2 linked regions of the Arabidopsis thaliana genome follow. The protein of the gene in region 1 interacts with the protein of each later gene in a biochemical or structural test. Each region holds a gene or a part of one and is shown on either strand. Other genes may lie near its edges.

Region 1 (9,796 bases):
CAGGAGTTGAAAGTGATCAAATGAATGAAAGTCCACTGGTGTTGGGGAAGTCAGAGGCGACTCAAATTGTTGCATTTCTGGATCAAACGCCTTCGTCATCGAAAGGGATTAAGGTAAGTTATGATTACGAATACGAACCGAGTTACGTTTTGGGTGATGATTCTCATAAAGGATTGGGATTTTGTGATGATTCTGATGCTACACCAAGTGGTAGCCTTTCTATTCCAAAGGCTTTGGGAGATCAAGGTGGTTCATTTTCCCATGAGGAGGAGGGTGATGCTGTTGACGAATCTGGTGGAAATGACGATGAACTGATGCCTGATGTTGTGAAAACACCGAAAAGGAGGAATTCAGGTTTCATTTCTATAGGAGGGATGAAGTTGTACACTGAAGATGTATCTGGTGAAGAGAGTGATGGAGAAGAAGAGATGAATGATGATGATGATGATGAATCTGGAGATGAAGGAAGCAGTGGATCTTCTGAATTATCTGAGAGTGACAGCTCGGAAGATATGTTTGGAAGTTATTCCGAGATTGATGATGATGTTGCCAAGGATTACTTGGAAGGTATTGGTGGCAGTGAGATTATGTTGGATGCTCATTGGTTAGCAGAACAGTCTTTGGATAAATTAGATTTGTCGAGTGATGATAGTTCTTCAAGCGATTCTTCGGATCGAAAAACGAGAAAGTTGACTGGTATTCGTCTGCAAAAAGCTTCAATGGAATATGGTAAGAAGAAGACAACAAGAAGTGGCTACTCGGGGCATGGTAAGTCTACTAATCCATTGGCAATGGATGATCTTATGTTTGTGAAGGATCCAAGAAGTCTTTCGGGGAAGAAGAATAAGAAGAAAGAGGTGGCTAAGTTTCCCCAGTCTTGGCCTTCACGGGCACCAAAGAGCAAGAATTCCCGTAGTTTTCCTGGTGAGAACAAGAAACACCGCAAAGAATACATTGCTTTGAAGCGCCGTGAGAGAATGCTGCAGCGTGGTGTTGATCTTGCTGATATTAATTCTCAGTTAGAGAATTTTGTTCTGGAGAACGTGGACATGCACTGTTTCCAACGTATGCATAATCGAGATTGCTCTCAGGTAAGACGATTAGCAGATGTCTACCGCTTATCAAGTAGCTGCAATGGTTCTGGAAAGAAAAGCTTTGTGACGGTGACTCGAACATATCAGACATGTATGCCATCTGCCAGCGATAAACTTCGCATTGAGAAGCTAATAGGAGCTGGAGATGAGGATTGTGATTTTGCTGTCAGTGGAGGGGTAAAAGGGAAATCTGGAAGTTTAGATAGGAAAAAAGCAAAAGACTCAGCTAAAAAGCGACCTACTAGAGAGGAACGGGAGAGAAACAAAAGCAATGGGAAGAAGAGTTCTTATGCTGATCAACCTGTATCATTTGTGTCAAGTGGCATAATCGATTCTGAGATAGCTGTTGCAAAAACCTCAGTTGAAAAAGTTGCAAAAGAGGTAGCTGAAACTACTCCGGGAACCTCTAATGGAGCAGACATTGGAGCATTTGAGGTACATACCAGAGGTTTTGGATCCAAAATGATGGCTAAAATGGGATTCATAGATGGAGGTGGTCTAGGAAAGGATGGTAAGGGGATAGCACAGCCAATAGAAGCTGTTCAGCGTCCGAAATCACTTGGGTTAGGTCTGGATTTCTCCATTGACACTGAAGACCCGAGTCCGTCAAGTAATAACAATAACAACGCTAAACGGAACAGATCTTCGTCCTCCGGGAAACATGGGAAACGCATCACCCATGACAATGGTGCCTCTGGTTCAGGAAGAATCAGGGACAAAAGATTGGGAGCCTTTGAGCAGCACACAACAGGCTTTGGGTCGAGGATGATGGCGAGAATGGGTTTCGTCGAAGGCTCGGGTCTGGGTAGAGAGTCACAAGGCATAGTCAATCCGCTGGTCGCTGTCAGACGTCCTAGAGCACGTGGAATAGGTGCTGAAGGCTAAACATTGAAGTATTTAACGGTCAATGTTTGAACAAGAACAGTAAGATATCGTTTTTAAGTATGTTCATCTTCAATCTTCAACATGTGGCCTTTGTTCAATTTATGTTTAAGACTTGGGAGCAGCTTTGTTGTTATCTTGACATCAATGTTGTTGACATAATAAAGCATCCTTTCTTTTGGCTTCTTTAACCACCATTGATGCAAAAAAAAATACATCCTCGGCTCCAAGATTCTATAAAAGAAAGTACCGATCTTAGAGCATTAACATTGATATGCGGAAATTGCTGATAAGTGGGAACATTTGTGATACTTACCACTTATAAAGCAATTACTTATCACTTGCAATCTTTTTAACTTACTTTATAATCCTTTATTTTTTCCATTTGTAATGAACGACCAAACAAGTATTGAAACGAAAATTAAGAACATTGATTAAAACCCAAACACAAGAGATTCGGATAACTTAAAAACACGAGGAAAGAATCAGTATCACTTTCCCCAGTAATCCAAAAGTAGAGAATTCGAGTTTTAAAACTTAAAAAAAAAAAGGATAAAGAAGTTATCACTAATTGTAGAGATCATCATCGTCCCCAGCAGCGGCTGCAGACGTGGCAAACGGATCTGCGACTCCAGTGGTGGCACCTGAACCAGCAGAATTCTCGAACCTGAACTCAGAACCGAACCCTCTAGACTGCTGCAACGTCTGAGCAAAGGCTTGGTACTTCCTGATGTCTGCATCACTCACACTCCTACGCGCATACTTCATCGACTCCTCAAAGTGTGCAGCTTTGATCTCTGATACTTCATCCACTCCATCTTCCTCCATTGCCTCTGGGTTCTCGCTCCTCCTCTTCTCCTTTTCAATGTCCTGAAACAAAAAAAAAACATGAGCTTCAGTTCAACGATTGGAGAGTATAACAATCTTTGGATAAAGAGCTTGGCGATGGGATCTCTAACCTTCTCAATGTTTTCTCTGATGGCGTACTTGCAAGCTCTCTGGCAAATCTCAGTGATATCAGCACCACTGAAACCCTGAGTGTATTTAGCAAGTGCACCGATGTCTACATCTTTAGCAATAGGAGATTTCCTCAAGGCGGCCTTGAAGATATTGAGACGGGAATCCTCATCTGGTAGTGGAATGTAAATGAGCTGGTCAAGCCTTCCAGGACGGAGAAGAGCTGAATCGATAATGTCAGGTCTGTTGGTAGCTCCGATGATGAAGACGGTTTTCTTGGCATTCATTCCGTCCATCTCAGTCAAAAGCTGGTTCAAGACTCTGTCCGCAGCACCACCTCCATCGCCACCACTTCCACCTCCTCTCTGAGTTGCAATGGAGTCGAGCTCATCAAAGAAAAGAACACATGGAGCGGATTGACGGGCCTTGTCGAAGATTTCACGAACATTTGCTTCACTCTCTCCAAACCACATTGTCAGAAGCTCGGGACCCTTGACACTGATGAAATTAGCTTGGCACTCGTTGGCAATAGCTTTGGCCAAAAGGGTTTTCCCACATCCAGGAGGACCGTAGAAAAGGACTCCCTTTGATGGAGACATCCCGAATTTCTCAAACTTCTCTGGGTGCTCGACTGGGTATTGAACAGTCTGCATTTGAACAATCACACGGCTCAGGTTACAAATTACAATTAATAGACAGACCCAAGCAAAAGTAAATATTAGCAATTTACCTCCTGGAGCTCTCTCTTGACATTCTCAAGACCTCCAATATCATTCCAAGAGACGTTGGGAACCTCCACAACCTGCAAAGCAAAGAAGAAAATTTGGAATGAGATTTACGCAAAGATACAATCTTTGATCTCGTTCTAAGCAGAGTACTGTCAATACTCACAGTTTCACGAAGTGCAGATGGGTTGCTGTTCCCGAGAGCAGTGTGGAAATGTTCATTAGTGACTGCCATGGAATTGAGGATTTCAGCGTCTATGGAGTCATCTTCCAGATCAATCACATCCATCTTCTCCCTGATGCATTGCAGGGCGGCCTCTGTGCACAAAGCTGCAAGATCAGCACCGACGTAACCGTGTGTGTCCTTTGAGATCCTTTCGAGATCCACCTGGAAAACAACCACAAGAAGAATTTAGCATTCAATAAACATTACACTCAACAAACACAGAAAAAGCTATGACTAGAAAATTACATCTTCAGCCAGCTTCATGTTCTTTGTATGGATCCTCAGAACTTCAAGACGTCCAATTTCGTCAGGAACTCCAATATCGATCTCCCTGTCAAATCTTCCAAACCTTCTCAAAGCTGGGTCGATACTGTTGGGGCGATTGGTTGCTCCCATGACGATAACATGAGCACGAGATTTCAGTCCATCCATTAGCGTAAGGAGCTGAGAGACAATCCTCCTCTCAACCTCTCCATTAGTCTTCTCTCTTTTCGGTGCAATAGAGTCGATCTCATCAATGAATATGATTGAAGGCGCATTTTTCTCAGCCTCCTCGAATGCTTTCCTGAGGTTGCTCTCACTCTCACCAGCCAATTTGGACATGATCTCAGGTCCGTTGATACAGAAGAAAAAGGCACCCGTTTCATTAGCCACAGCACGAGCGATCAAAGTCTTTCCAGACCCAGGTGGTCCATAAAGAAGAATTCCCTTCGGTGGCTTAACACCAATCGACTTGAATAGCTGTGGATGCCTCAAGGGAAGTTCAACAAGTTCCCTAATCTGAGCCATCTGTTTCCTGACACCACCAACATCATCATAACCTACATCATCTAGCCTTTCTTCATCCTCTCTCTTCACAGGCTCACCCTCACAGAAAATCTCTGTGTCTGGAGCAACCACGCAGTACTCAGCAGGATCTGTCTCTATAACTTTGAACTCCACACTCCTCATTCCTCCTCTGACTAGGAAGAGATCACCCTTCCTCACTGGACGGTATGCCTCAAGGAAATAAGCTGTTGAAAAGAATTCAATCTTTGTTAAGAAATCACTCTAATAATATCTCAAACCAAACAAGAACATCCAAAGAAAAATCAAAATTGCATAACTGGATAAGGATCTAAAACAAAAAGGCAACTTACGTTTCAGGTAAGCATCAAATAGGTTTCCAGTCACTCCTTCAACAGTATCATCAACAGGCAGGATGTGAACACGCTTTCCGTACTTGACGTCTGGGCATTGGTGAACAGATATAACATCTCCCAGTCTAACCCTCAAGTTAGATCTGACTACTTTATTCATTCTGATCTTTGGCTCCTCACATGTCTCATCAGCAAGAGCAATGCAGACAGTGTCCTTCCTCTTCTTACCCTGAAAGCCAAAATCCAAACCAAATAAGAACTCATAAAGACTACTAATACGAATCATTCACCAAGACAGGATCAGTACAAAAGCAAGTCTTTTTATTTTGTATAATACCTAAGATCATAAATCACTTGTTTCAAAAGACCACAAACCCTAGTTTATGTAGAACCACATAAGAATCCATTAATCAAGCAAGGAGAAAAAACCCTAAATTATGTCTCTTCATAGAGACAGAAACCAACCATTCAATATCTCAATCAAAAGAGAATCCAAACAAACAAAAGCAAACCCAAACCTTGATGAGAATGGTATCACCACGGAAGAGCTGAAGCTTCTCCATGGTTGCAGGGTGAAGAGAGACGACGGAGTTATCATCGTTGATAGCCTCATCGACGACGAGACGGTTCGGAGACTTCTTCCTCTCGAGAATAGCAGTACTGAAATCTTTCTTCGATTTCCTGTAACAACAACAAAGAAGATTAAGATTCAACTATAGAAACACAAGATCAACCAAAACCCTAATCCCCAAAATCGAAAAACCCAGACTTTAAGAAGATCCGAAAAAAATCCCGATCGGAAAACCAAAATCAGAGATCTGGGTACTTACGAGTCTGAAGATTCAGCTGGGGTAGACATGATTGAGTTTGAGATTAACGAAAGAGTTCCCTGAGAAATCGAAGAAAGTTGAGAGCTTTTTCTTCTTCTTTGGTTTCTTCTCTGAGAGAGAGAGAGAGATGGATTTGTGATAATGGGATCTGAAAGAGCACAGATTTTCTCTAATTATATCTCTCTACGTTTCTTGTTGGAAAAGAGAGCTCTTTTTTTTTCCTTTATTCTTATTTTCCTTTTTGTTTCTTATCTTCTAGTAATATCAAACCGACCCCTATTGTTTTACTTTTCCCAAATATTCACCCTATTTATGTTATGTGATTAGAATTCTAGAAACTTCTTTTTCGTTCAATTTTTTCCTCCATTCCACAAGCAATATCAATTTCCTACCTATCGACTAATATTCTTTTTCCAACTACTTCTCCCAAATTTCAGTAGTCCTCCAGACCTTAAAGCCCATAATTATTTTCATTTTATTTATGTTTGTGATTTACTTATGGTAATTAATAGGAACTCTTAACACATTACCACAAATATACACTTAAGCACGAGTAGATTGATCAGCTTTGGAACAAAACTCTGATAAGCCGTTCTTGCTTAATATACATATCTTACTAATTTAGCTGTGGTTACTATTCATAAGTTCATACAAAAATCATATTTCATCATTTTAGAATCTTTCACAAATCTTCATATATAATTATCTTTATGTATGTATATGAGCTTCATCTTGATCTCGCTAGAATCTTCAACCTTCGGAATCTCCATGAAACCTTTCTTGACTCTTTTTTTTGCTGTAAGAAGAGGTTGAATTCTATAAGCAGTCAACAAGCTCTTATTGTCTTTGGATTCCATAACTTGCCAAACCAACCTCCTTCACCGCCACCACCATTGTTCTTTCCTCTCGCGTCTCTCGAAGCTTTTACACTGTTCAGCGGAACTAGCTGTGGGCTGCCATTTCCTGAAGAAGCTTCCACAATTTTGTTCACCATCTCTAAAACCTCACTCATCTTGGGACGTGCCTTTGAGTTCCTAACCAAACATCTGTTGGCCACAACTGCTAGCTTTTGAACCGATTTGATCGGGTACTTCCCTTCCAGCCTTGGATCTAATATGAGCTTGAACTTCCTTGTGTCAGATAAATAAGGTCTCACCCATTCTAGAAGCTTCTGCTCTCCCTTGGGTCTGTTTCTGTCCACCGGTCGCCTCCCAGTGATAAGCTCATAGAGGAAGACTCCATAACCCCACACATCGCTTTTCGATGTGAGACGGCCGGTTTGAATGTATTCAGGTGCTGCATAACCCATTGTACCTACAACCTAATAAAGCCAAAGAAACCCGTTCAAAAACATACCTGTTTTTCAATCTTGCAACCAAAAGAAGTGAATGCAGAACTTACATCAGTAGAAACATGGGTTAATCCTTCAGATGGACCTAAACGAGCCAAACCGAAATCTGAGAGCTTTGCTTTCCAGTCCTCATCCAAAAGAATGTTCGAGGACTTGAAATCGCGGAATATTATCTGAAAAGCCAATAAATAAAAGTTAGTCAAGAGAGTGAAATGAGATCAGTAACGTAGCAGAGTCATCATATTACCTGAAACTCCATTTCTTCATGCAGGTATGTTAATCCGCGAGCTGCATCTTGGGCGATTCTCAGTCTGAGGTCCCAAGTAAGAACTGTGAGTGACCGAGGGGATAAGTGGAATTCAACACTTCGGTTAGGCATGTATTCATAAACCAAAAGCCGTTGGATTCCACGTTCATCATCTTCTGCACAATAGCCAAGCAATTTCACCAAGTTTGTATGCTCAACTATTCCGAGGAAGTTCACTTCCGTAACCCATTCCTTATGCCCCTGCAACATCCAAGAAATGAGATAATAGTGTTAAACCAGTGGATGAGTAACAGATCTTGAGAACAAGATTGGAAAAAACAGACATACCTGCAACCCTCTTTTACCGAGCTGCTTCACTGCGACTTCGATTTTAACTGACGAGTCCTCTAAGTTCCTCACTGTGCCCCTGAAGACACAACCGAAACCGCCTTCTCCAATCATAACAGATCGGCTAAAGTTCTTTGTTGCAGACTTGAGATCAGTAATGCTGAACTCTCTGAGATTACTTGCTCTAGTAGACACCGGAGGGTACGAGTTCTTCCTCCCCATGGATGATTCTGTGCTCGTCCCAGAGACATCACGAGAGTTGAACTCTGACCCGCTTCGGTTTATTTCGCGGTCAGAGAAGATAGAGGTCAATGAAACCGAAATAGGGGTCTTCTGTTCCCCTCTCTTATCCCCACCAGAGAACAAGAAACACTTCATTATCGAGAGGAGATTAAAATACCGATGTTTGTCCACTGCAGGACACCAATAAAACACTGATAATGATCATATAACATATACCGAACCACAAAATCAAAACCATTGAAGCATATTATCGAACAACTAATCTGCAAAGTACAAGCATTTCCAAAGTTAAGGCTTCCCCCAAGTACAAAACCACTTAACAGAGAGGAAGGCCTTTAGACCCAACAGATCCAAATTCTTTTCCAAGTAACACAAACCCTAAGTTCCAGTGAGTAATAGAAGGGATCTCGAAGCTAAAAGTAATCAAATTTCGCAAGTTGATTCCAATAAACTAAAACCCAACAGCAACATAAAGAACTTTGACTTATTGAACAAGTATATAAAAAGCAAAAGATGACACAACTCTCACCTTTGAATTTACTTTGTATACAGAAAAAAATCAGAACAGCTATCAGAAGAAGATGTAATTCAATCGTCAGAAGAGAAGGAAGATTATAATTATCATGAAGTGGTTAATGAATCACGATACAAAAGAGATCGAGGATTTGAGAAGCTAAGCTTCCGAGAGAAATGGATTTTAAGAAGCTAAGCTTCCGAGAGAAAGAGGTCGAAGAAGAAGAGGAAGAAGAAGTCGTCACACGGCAACAAAAAAAAAACGAAGTCTTTACAGAGAGAGATAGCTAAAGTCAGCGAAAGAACGAAGAACTGAGAATTTAAATTGGACAAAACAAATGAATTATTTGTTACTATTAAAAGATGTTTCCAAAATTAATATTCTTTTATTAGACACACAATCACACATAAAAACAACGTTTTCATTTCTTTTTCCTTTGACTTGTTCAACGGTGAGGTGCTTAGAAAAGTAGCCAACAGATCGATCAGTGTATCTAAATCACTTATGAGTTATGGTCTTATTTAGTAATAAAATCTTACTTATTTCAACAACATCATTTTCTATTGTTTAGGGAATTTTACTATGACAGAATAAATCTTCAAATTAATGGAATGCGAATAAACGATGGTGAAACGTTTTAACATACAAAATAAAACTATCTACAAAGTCTACAATAAACGACGGTGAGTGACTCAAGATGTATATGATTATGCATTTATGATAGACAACTCAACCAATGTTTGAGCTTTTGAAAAATAAATATTTTTTATAGATTATGTATAGATAATATAGTCACAGTTTTATAATTTTCAAGTATTCATTAATGTTGTTTTATATTTAATGGTACTAACTTACTATCATCTAACATCAACCATCTGTTGCAAAAAAAAAAAAACCATTGTTAAATATCAGTGATTGAAAATCTATAACAATACGAAGTTTTATTCTTAAGGTGGGTGAGTCGGCCCATGATGCCAAAATGGTTTCCACTTTCCAAAGTGGTTCAAAATATAATCTTACATAATTACATTAATGTTTATGTTAACAAGCATAGTTCTCTACTACTAATCTTATTTGTTTATGGTAATCATGAGATTTGCAATGGGGAAGTGGAAGGGATATTTCACTTGGGTCACCTAGGAGATTTCCTAAATCTTCCTAGAACCTAGAGTACATAAATTTAACGACAAAGTTTAGCATTTTCACACAAAAAATAATGAATTAAAGAAATCCTCGGTAT
Region 2 (7,011 bases), on another chromosome or scaffold:
ATGATGAATTTTAATGGAATAGTTGGGTTCCACAAAATCAAACCTTTTCTATTAATATAAAAAAAATCTCTAAGGACTTTTAAGGTTTATTTAATTAAGGAAACCTATATAGACCTAAATTTTTTACATGTAAAGAATGTATTGATGACATCTAAACGAGGTAGATATAACTGTTCCGTACATAACTAACTTATAACACTTCTCTCAAGTCTCGAGTATATATATATATACACAAAGTGAGAGACTTGAGACAGAGCACTGAACTAACTTGCAACTCTGTTTTTTCAACTTCTACCAGAAAAAGAGAAAAAGAAGCAAAAGATACTTCAATGGCGCAAACTACTGTCACTGTAGTCGCGACCAAACGCGATGCTCTTGATCCTTACATCAAGATTCTTCAGAATCGATCAAACGACATCGATGTCTCCTTCTCTTCTTACCTCAAACCAGACAACAACGAACAACAACAAAAGGAGAATGAAGATACTGAGCTAAGTATCTTCGAAGCTCGAAGTTACTTTAGCGAAAACGGAAGCAACGATAGTCGATGCCAGACGAGGAATCTAAGTGGTCCAAGATTTTCTTCGGTCGCATCTGCAAAAGTGTCTTCTTTTACCGTGGGACAAACGGCATCCTCTGAAGCTAGCTGGAACAGCCAAACCGGTTTGCTCTCTAACAAAAACCGCCAAGGATCGGACAGAGATGGACGTAGAAGCAGCAAGAAAGGACCAAGATGGTTTTTTAGACGCAGGGCTTGTCCATGTTCTAGCTCCAAGTCCGTTCAGGTCCAAGAATCCAAACCAAGAATCGCAGTGCCCAAAACCGGTTCTGACCGAATCGTCTCGAACCGAATAGTTCATAGTCATCAGACGATATCTTCACCTGAGCCAATAAGATTAACGATCCCTTCAAACACTGTGACTCGGTCCATCGATTACACTGCAAACAAAGAAGCTAGAGCTCCAGTTAGTAATTTTAGCTTCCCAACTCTAAACGAAACTTCACAATTATCAGAAAATCCCAAGAATCCGGTTTTGAATCATATTAAACCGGTACGAATTGAACCGGCTCTGCTTCCGATTAAACCGGTTCTGAATCCTACGAGTCCCAAGGGAGTCATCATAGACGAAGAAGCCACAAGCGACGCAAGCTCCGATCTTTTTGAGATAGAGAGCTTCTCTACTCAAACCGCAGCTCGTCCATGGGCTCCACCAGTACGGGACTCGATGGAAGAGACCGTGTCTGAGTACGGTTACGAGCCAAGCGAAGCAAGTGTTACTTGGAGCGTTATGACCGCCGAGCCGGCCTCGGCCGTTGCAGCTAACTTCTCAAGAATTGCCTTGTCGTCATCGTCTACAGCATTTAGTGGTTACGATAAGAAGAGAACCGGTTTGTTGAACTGTCATTGTGAGAAGGCGGTTATGGTTAACGGCGATAAGCGTTTAGTGCAACCGGTTAAGAGCGTTGGTGTTCAAAACGACGTCGCGGGAAAGGTGTTGTGCAACAATGGCAGTTCTAAACTAAGCGTGACGAGTAGACCAAGGCAATGATGGATACCAAATCTTTGTTCTTGGTTTAGATCCGGTTTTCTCCAGTTATCTTGGTGTGTTTTGGATGCTTCTCGTGTAAAATTGCTCTGTTTTTTCTTCTTCTTTTTTTTGGTTAATATAACTTGTGTAATGATTAATGAAGATTATGGTTTGTGAAGTAAACAAAATCAATGTGTCCTGTATTTATCACAATATTGATCACATTTTTTTGTAATAACCGGAGTAAATCCCGGAGTGAAACCCAAACTAATCCTCAATACTTGTATGTTGTATTTAAGGCGTCTATAGTCAAGAAATAGATTCGTAGCCTTGACCCACATAGCGAATCCTCTATCCACTCGAACAAACCAATGGACCACAAAACACTTGGTTATACGATTTCTTTCTTTAGAAACCTCATCCACTACTTCTTTGAGGTCCCATGGAAACATCAATCTTCAAAGATTGTAGGCGGGCTGAATTGAGCAAAAGAAGATGCCCCATGTGTCTTTGTTGTAGGTACATTCAGAAAACAAGTGGTTCTTGGATTCAGGTGCATTACAGAGGAGACAAAAATTTCAAGAATATTCATGCCCCAATTCCTTAATCTATCACGAGTTGGGAACTTGGGAGATGATTCCAAGCCGTTACCCAAGAGATAATAAATGCATGCATAGGAATATAAACAACTTTATGCAATAAACAGACTGTAGTATTGGTCATCGATTTAGTTTTGTTTATTTGTTAAAAACATAATCCAGCATGTGTTTTTATCACATAAAACCAAAAAGAAAAATTCTCAGTTGATGAAGACGTTTAATTTCTGATTAGTCTTTCGTTTACTAAAAGCTTTATCTTTTAATTTGAATGCTTTTTATTTTGTTAAAGAGTTTACCATTGAAAGTTTGATTTCTTTTTTGGGGATATAACTTGTAAATATGAAGTCAAGAGTTAGGCTCGTAGGTGAAGTGAAGATGGTGCTAATAGCATAAATGGTTCGTCTCAAAAAGACTTTTCCGTTGCGTGCACGAAGTATATAGACGGTCCTTTAGGATTAAGGCAAATTATAGTTTGGTCAATTGACATTATTTTCAACAATGTATACGTTATATACATTCGTATATCATAGCATTTAAAGTTAATTAGCTCCTCTCTTCCCTTAGATAGCTAGATGGATTAGGTCTAAATATTTGGGAAAATGACTTCCCTTTTGAAGTTACGTATATATCCAAGTTAACCAAATTAATCATGAATCCATGACTTAGGATTAATTATGTCTTTCTCAAAAGTCTGATTTAAGGTTTAGTTTCTTGCTTGAAAGCATTAATAAGTCAAGAGTAAGCCATTAAAAAATGTTCCATAGCTTAAAAGCAAACTAGACTTGAAAATATAAATACTAATATCGTATGTAACTTGAACTTCACTACACGAAACCTCAATCATAAATACACATTAGCTCCAAAACCACAACACTGCACATGAAAACTAAACACACGTACACAAGAAACCCCAAAACATTTTGCCTAGAAAGTTGTTTAAATTACCTCTTAAACCTTAAGAAATCATATCCAGAAACTCAATGGATCAACAAGGGATGGTCAAGAAAAGACTAGCCGTTCTCGTCGGCTGCAACTACCCTAACACAAGGAACGAGCTTCACGGTTGCATCAATGATGTTCTAGCCATGAAAGAAACTATTTTGTCACGTTTCGGATTCAAACAAGACGACATTGAGGTGCTAACGGACGAGCCAGAATCAAAGGTAAAGCCGACAGGTGCCAACATCAAGGCTGCTCTACGTAGGATGGTGGATAAAGCTCAAGCCGGATCTGGAGACATCTTGTTCTTCCACTACAGTGGCCATGGAACTCGTATTCCTTCGGTTAAATCTGCTCATCCTTTTAAACAAGACGAAGCTATTGTTCCTTGTGATTTCAATCTCATCACAGATGTTGATTTCCGAGAATTGGTCAATCAACTTCCTAAAGGAACAAGCTTTACCATGATCTCTGATTCTTGCCATAGTGGTGGTCTCATCGACAAGGAGAAAGAACAGATCGGACCCTCTTCGGTCTCCAGCAACATATCTCCGGCTATTGAGACAACGAACAAGACTATAACATCACGTGCCTTGCCCTTCAAGGCAGTCCTTGACCACTTGAGTTCTCTCACCGGAATTACAACTTCCGACATCGGCACACATCTACTTGAGCTCTTTGGCCGCGATGCTGGTCTTAAGTTTCGGTTACCGGCAATGGATCTAATGGATCTTTTGGAGACTATGACGGCCCGTGAAAAACACGTGGACTCAGGGATATTGATGAGCGGGTGTCAGGCGGATGAGACGTCTGCTGACGTCGGCGTTGGGAACGGGAAAGCGTACGGAGCGTTTAGCAACGCGATTCAAAGGGTGTTGAACGAAAATGAAGGTGCCATGAAGAACAAGCAACTAGTGATGATGGCAAGGGATGTGCTTGAGAGACTAGGGTTTCATCAACACCCTTGTCTCTACTGCAGCGACCAGAACGCAGACGCGACGTTCCTTTCTCAACCTTGAATTTTAAACGTTTGCGTTGTTTTCTTTTATTTGTTTTATCACGTTTGCCTTTGGGGTTGTTGTAAATTGTTAACTGGTGGAATGTGTGTATTTTCTATTCTCTGTGGTGTACTCTAAAAGGAAAAAGGACATATAAAACTTGTTTAATAACATTTATCTTTTTTAATGGTACAAAAAGGTTTAATTAAAGCTTTTCTAGAGAATGTACTAATTTAGTTACCAAGTCAGCAGTATTGGAGCTAGAAGAACCAACCTCTTGGGTTGAAGAAATGGCAGCACCAGTCATTTTGTGCTGCCATTTTTCAGTAGGTCCCCACAAGAGTTTAACCCTCTGGCCTTTGATGTCAGTCCAGGAGGAGAGCTCAAGCATGGCCTTCTCAGCAGCTAGACGGGTAGTGTAAGTGAGGAAGGCACAGGTGCCTCCTCCTCGGTGGGGGAAGATAACAATAGATTCGATTTCACCATAGGGGCAGAAATGGTCTCGGATGTCCTGCTCGAGGACACTGGAGTTAATAAGTCTACGGATGTAAAGAGTTTTAATACTTTGATCCTCTGGTGGTTTCAAAGGGCCCGTGTTACAAGCTCTTGCAAGCACCTCGAGTACAAATGGGTTTTCTAACCTGCGGTGAAGAAAAATACATGAAACACACAAACAAACAAAGACTCGAGAATATATATACATCTATATATGTATGTAGAATAGCTTACCCAGAACGACCATGACAATCTAAGCCTCTGTTGATCTCATGGCGGTATAGACACATGGTACCTCTTGTACACTGGCGACCAGCGTCGAATAAAGGACAAATTGGTATGCAGTCTAGTTTCCTACTTTTATCCTCAATTTGGGCCATAAAAAACTACATTGAAGACAAACAATCAATATATCACCAGACCACGTAGATACAAGCAACTAGACGAAATTGGTAGCGCTAACTAATTCCTAAAACATAAGAAGAAGATTTACTCCAATATACGTACGTACAGAAAACATCAACATTTAATATGTACTTCGAAATTTTATTAAAATTATATGATTTTGATCAAGTACATGCAAGATTTTACAAAGGCCATACTAGAACAAAACTTCATGCCAGAATTGTTATCAGTTTTGTTAACTAGTTGTCCAACGGATCTCAATGTGAATAATGCCGTTTCTGGAATTGATAAGATGGTATTTCTGGTTGATCCTTCCATTGTCAACTACATCGTCCAGATTTATGTCTACATGTCCTAGTTCCTCCTATACAGAGATTAAGCAAAGGTATAATAAGTTGAAATGTCTCTGTCTGCTTTAACAGAGATTTTAACAGGCATGAGATCTTTACCTTGGATCGAAAGTGAAAGCCGGTTCCTTTACTCATGACCTCAACGCGTATACTCTCTTTCACTGGAGGCTCCTCTAGTGTAAACTGGAATTCCTCGTTCCATCGAGGGTCTCGTGTTTTCTTCAGCATCTGATCAAGAAAAAGGTAGCCAATATAACTCAAAATAGTTCTTAAGTAGCTTCTCAGCAAAATGCAGATTTAGAATTTTACCTTAGTTTTCTTCTTTTCTCCTCTGAAGAGAACAACAGCATAAGGGTTCGAGTGTTTCTTCTTGCCCTCGACATCTTTTGCAGATTGGACTGCAACCGAGAGTAGACCGGCTTGGCTGAGAAAATCATCGTCCTCTGATGATTTCTCTTCTCTGCTCTCTTTTCTACGCTTAATGCTTTCTTCTCTGAATGGCACATACCTGAGATCAACCTCTAATCTTCCTCTTTTTTTCTTGTCTCCAGAATCCATAACAACATTTGAGTTCTTAATCAGATCAAGATTAAACTCCTTCCTCTCACCCGGGTTAATCTTTTGCAAAGGGATCATCTGCATTCCTAATCTGTCGTGCCCACCGACCTATACAGATACAGAGCCGCTTTAGTAAGAATGGCATAAAATGTTGAACTAGAGAAGAAATGGGATCATTAGATGCATGGACCTTGTCCCAGTCAAAGACTTCTAGTTGAAGGACTTGTGAGTTTGGGTCCTTGACGATGAGCTTAAAGTGTTCGTTCCATTCCGGGTTTAAGTTCCTCTTCTTTATGGTGGTTTTCTTTGCTGGAAGCTTTTCTCCAGTTAAGCTAAGCTTGACATAAGGGTCGGATGTTCCCAACAAATCCTTCTTGAGGAGATTACGAGCTCGAAGAATGCTCACATGTAGTAATCCAACAGGCTTCTTTACAGACGCTCTACATCAGAATTAAACTTATACATCATCAGAGGAAAAGAAACAGAAAGATCTTCTGATTTCTAGTTGATAAACCTTGAGACAACACTTACGTTGAAGAATCAAGAATAGGTATCTCAAGCACTTGTGGCCAATGGTACATGCTTGAAACTTGCCTTTTAATAGTTTCCTGCAAAAATCATTAGATAAAGATAAGTTCTCTGTAACGAGACCGATGAATGAGCATCTCATTTGACTAGATAAACCAACTCCTACCGATAGGAGGATCATCAATGCAGCACCTGAACATATCTGTAGAGCCCCGGTATGGACATGAGATCTCCACCAAGCACTTTCAATCCAAAATCAACATGTGGCTGCAAAAGAGAATCATGTTTAGCAGAGCAGGCCACTTTCAATCTATTTTGTGTCACTCTTGTGTGAGAGGTAGCTTACCTTTTCCATTAACGAAACTACAACCATTCCGAAACAAGGGAATGTCGGCAGAAGAGGCTTCAAAGCTACACGCACTATTGCAAAAAACTGGAGATCTACTAGCTGCAAAGTTAAAACATTTAGATATTCAGCAGTGGAGATGCCTATGTTCCATTCTTTGACAGTTTCACTCTCACTGACCTGAACTCTAATTCGTAAAGACAGAACCTTTAGCACCAAAACAATGTTGGGATTGCCTGCCCATTTGATTGATGGTTCAAACAG

What was found. The genes of interacting proteins can lie anywhere in the genome.
Region 2: of the proteins of CDC48 (region 1) and MC9, one has a biochemical effect on the other in vitro, tested with the Arabidopsis thaliana proteins (one large-scale study listed by BioGRID).

Annotation. Positions count from the first base shown.
Region 1 is NC_003074.8:3,015,580-3,025,375, reverse strand, and holds CDC48 (cell division cycle 48), read right to left. Parts: upstream 6,128-9,796; 5' UTR 5,883-6,127; coding exon 5,854-5,882; intron 5,705-5,853; coding exon 5,542-5,704; intron 5,253-5,541; coding exon 5,024-5,252; intron 4,898-5,023; coding exon 4,131-4,897; intron 4,047-4,130; coding exon 3,825-4,046; intron 3,736-3,824; coding exon 3,664-3,735; intron 3,581-3,663; coding exon 2,936-3,580; intron 2,847-2,935; coding exon 2,544-2,846; 3' UTR 2,324-2,543; downstream 1-2,323. Other genes in the region: AT3G09850 (D111/G-patch domain-containing protein), read left to right, coding at 1-1,979; AT3G09830 (Protein kinase superfamily protein), read right to left, coding at 6,680-7,174, 7,255-7,377, 7,452-7,712, 7,800-8,177. UniProt on the Arabidopsis thaliana protein: Probably functions in cell division and growth processes. Interacts with certain SNAREs as part of specialized membrane fusion events where vesicles from the same organelle fuse (homotypic fusion).
Region 2 is NC_003076.8:1,150,785-1,157,795, forward strand, and holds MC9 (metacaspase 9), read left to right. Parts: upstream 1-2,955; 5' UTR 2,956-3,108; coding exon 3,109-4,086; 3' UTR 4,087-4,256; downstream 4,257-7,011. Other genes in the region: PKS4 (phytochrome kinase substrate 4), read left to right, coding at 330-1,550; AT5G04210 (CCCH-type zinc fingerfamily protein with RNA-binding domain-containing protein), read right to left, coding at 4,271-4,706, 4,795-4,940; SYTC (Calcium-dependent lipid-binding (CaLB domain) family protein), read right to left, coding at 5,201-5,329, 5,415-5,543, 5,625-5,981, 6,064-6,313, 6,405-6,481, 6,594-6,668, 6,748-6,849, 6,928-7,011. UniProt on the Arabidopsis thaliana protein: Cysteine protease that cleaves specifically after arginine or lysine residues. Does not cleave caspase-specific substrates. Required for proteolytic processing of GRI.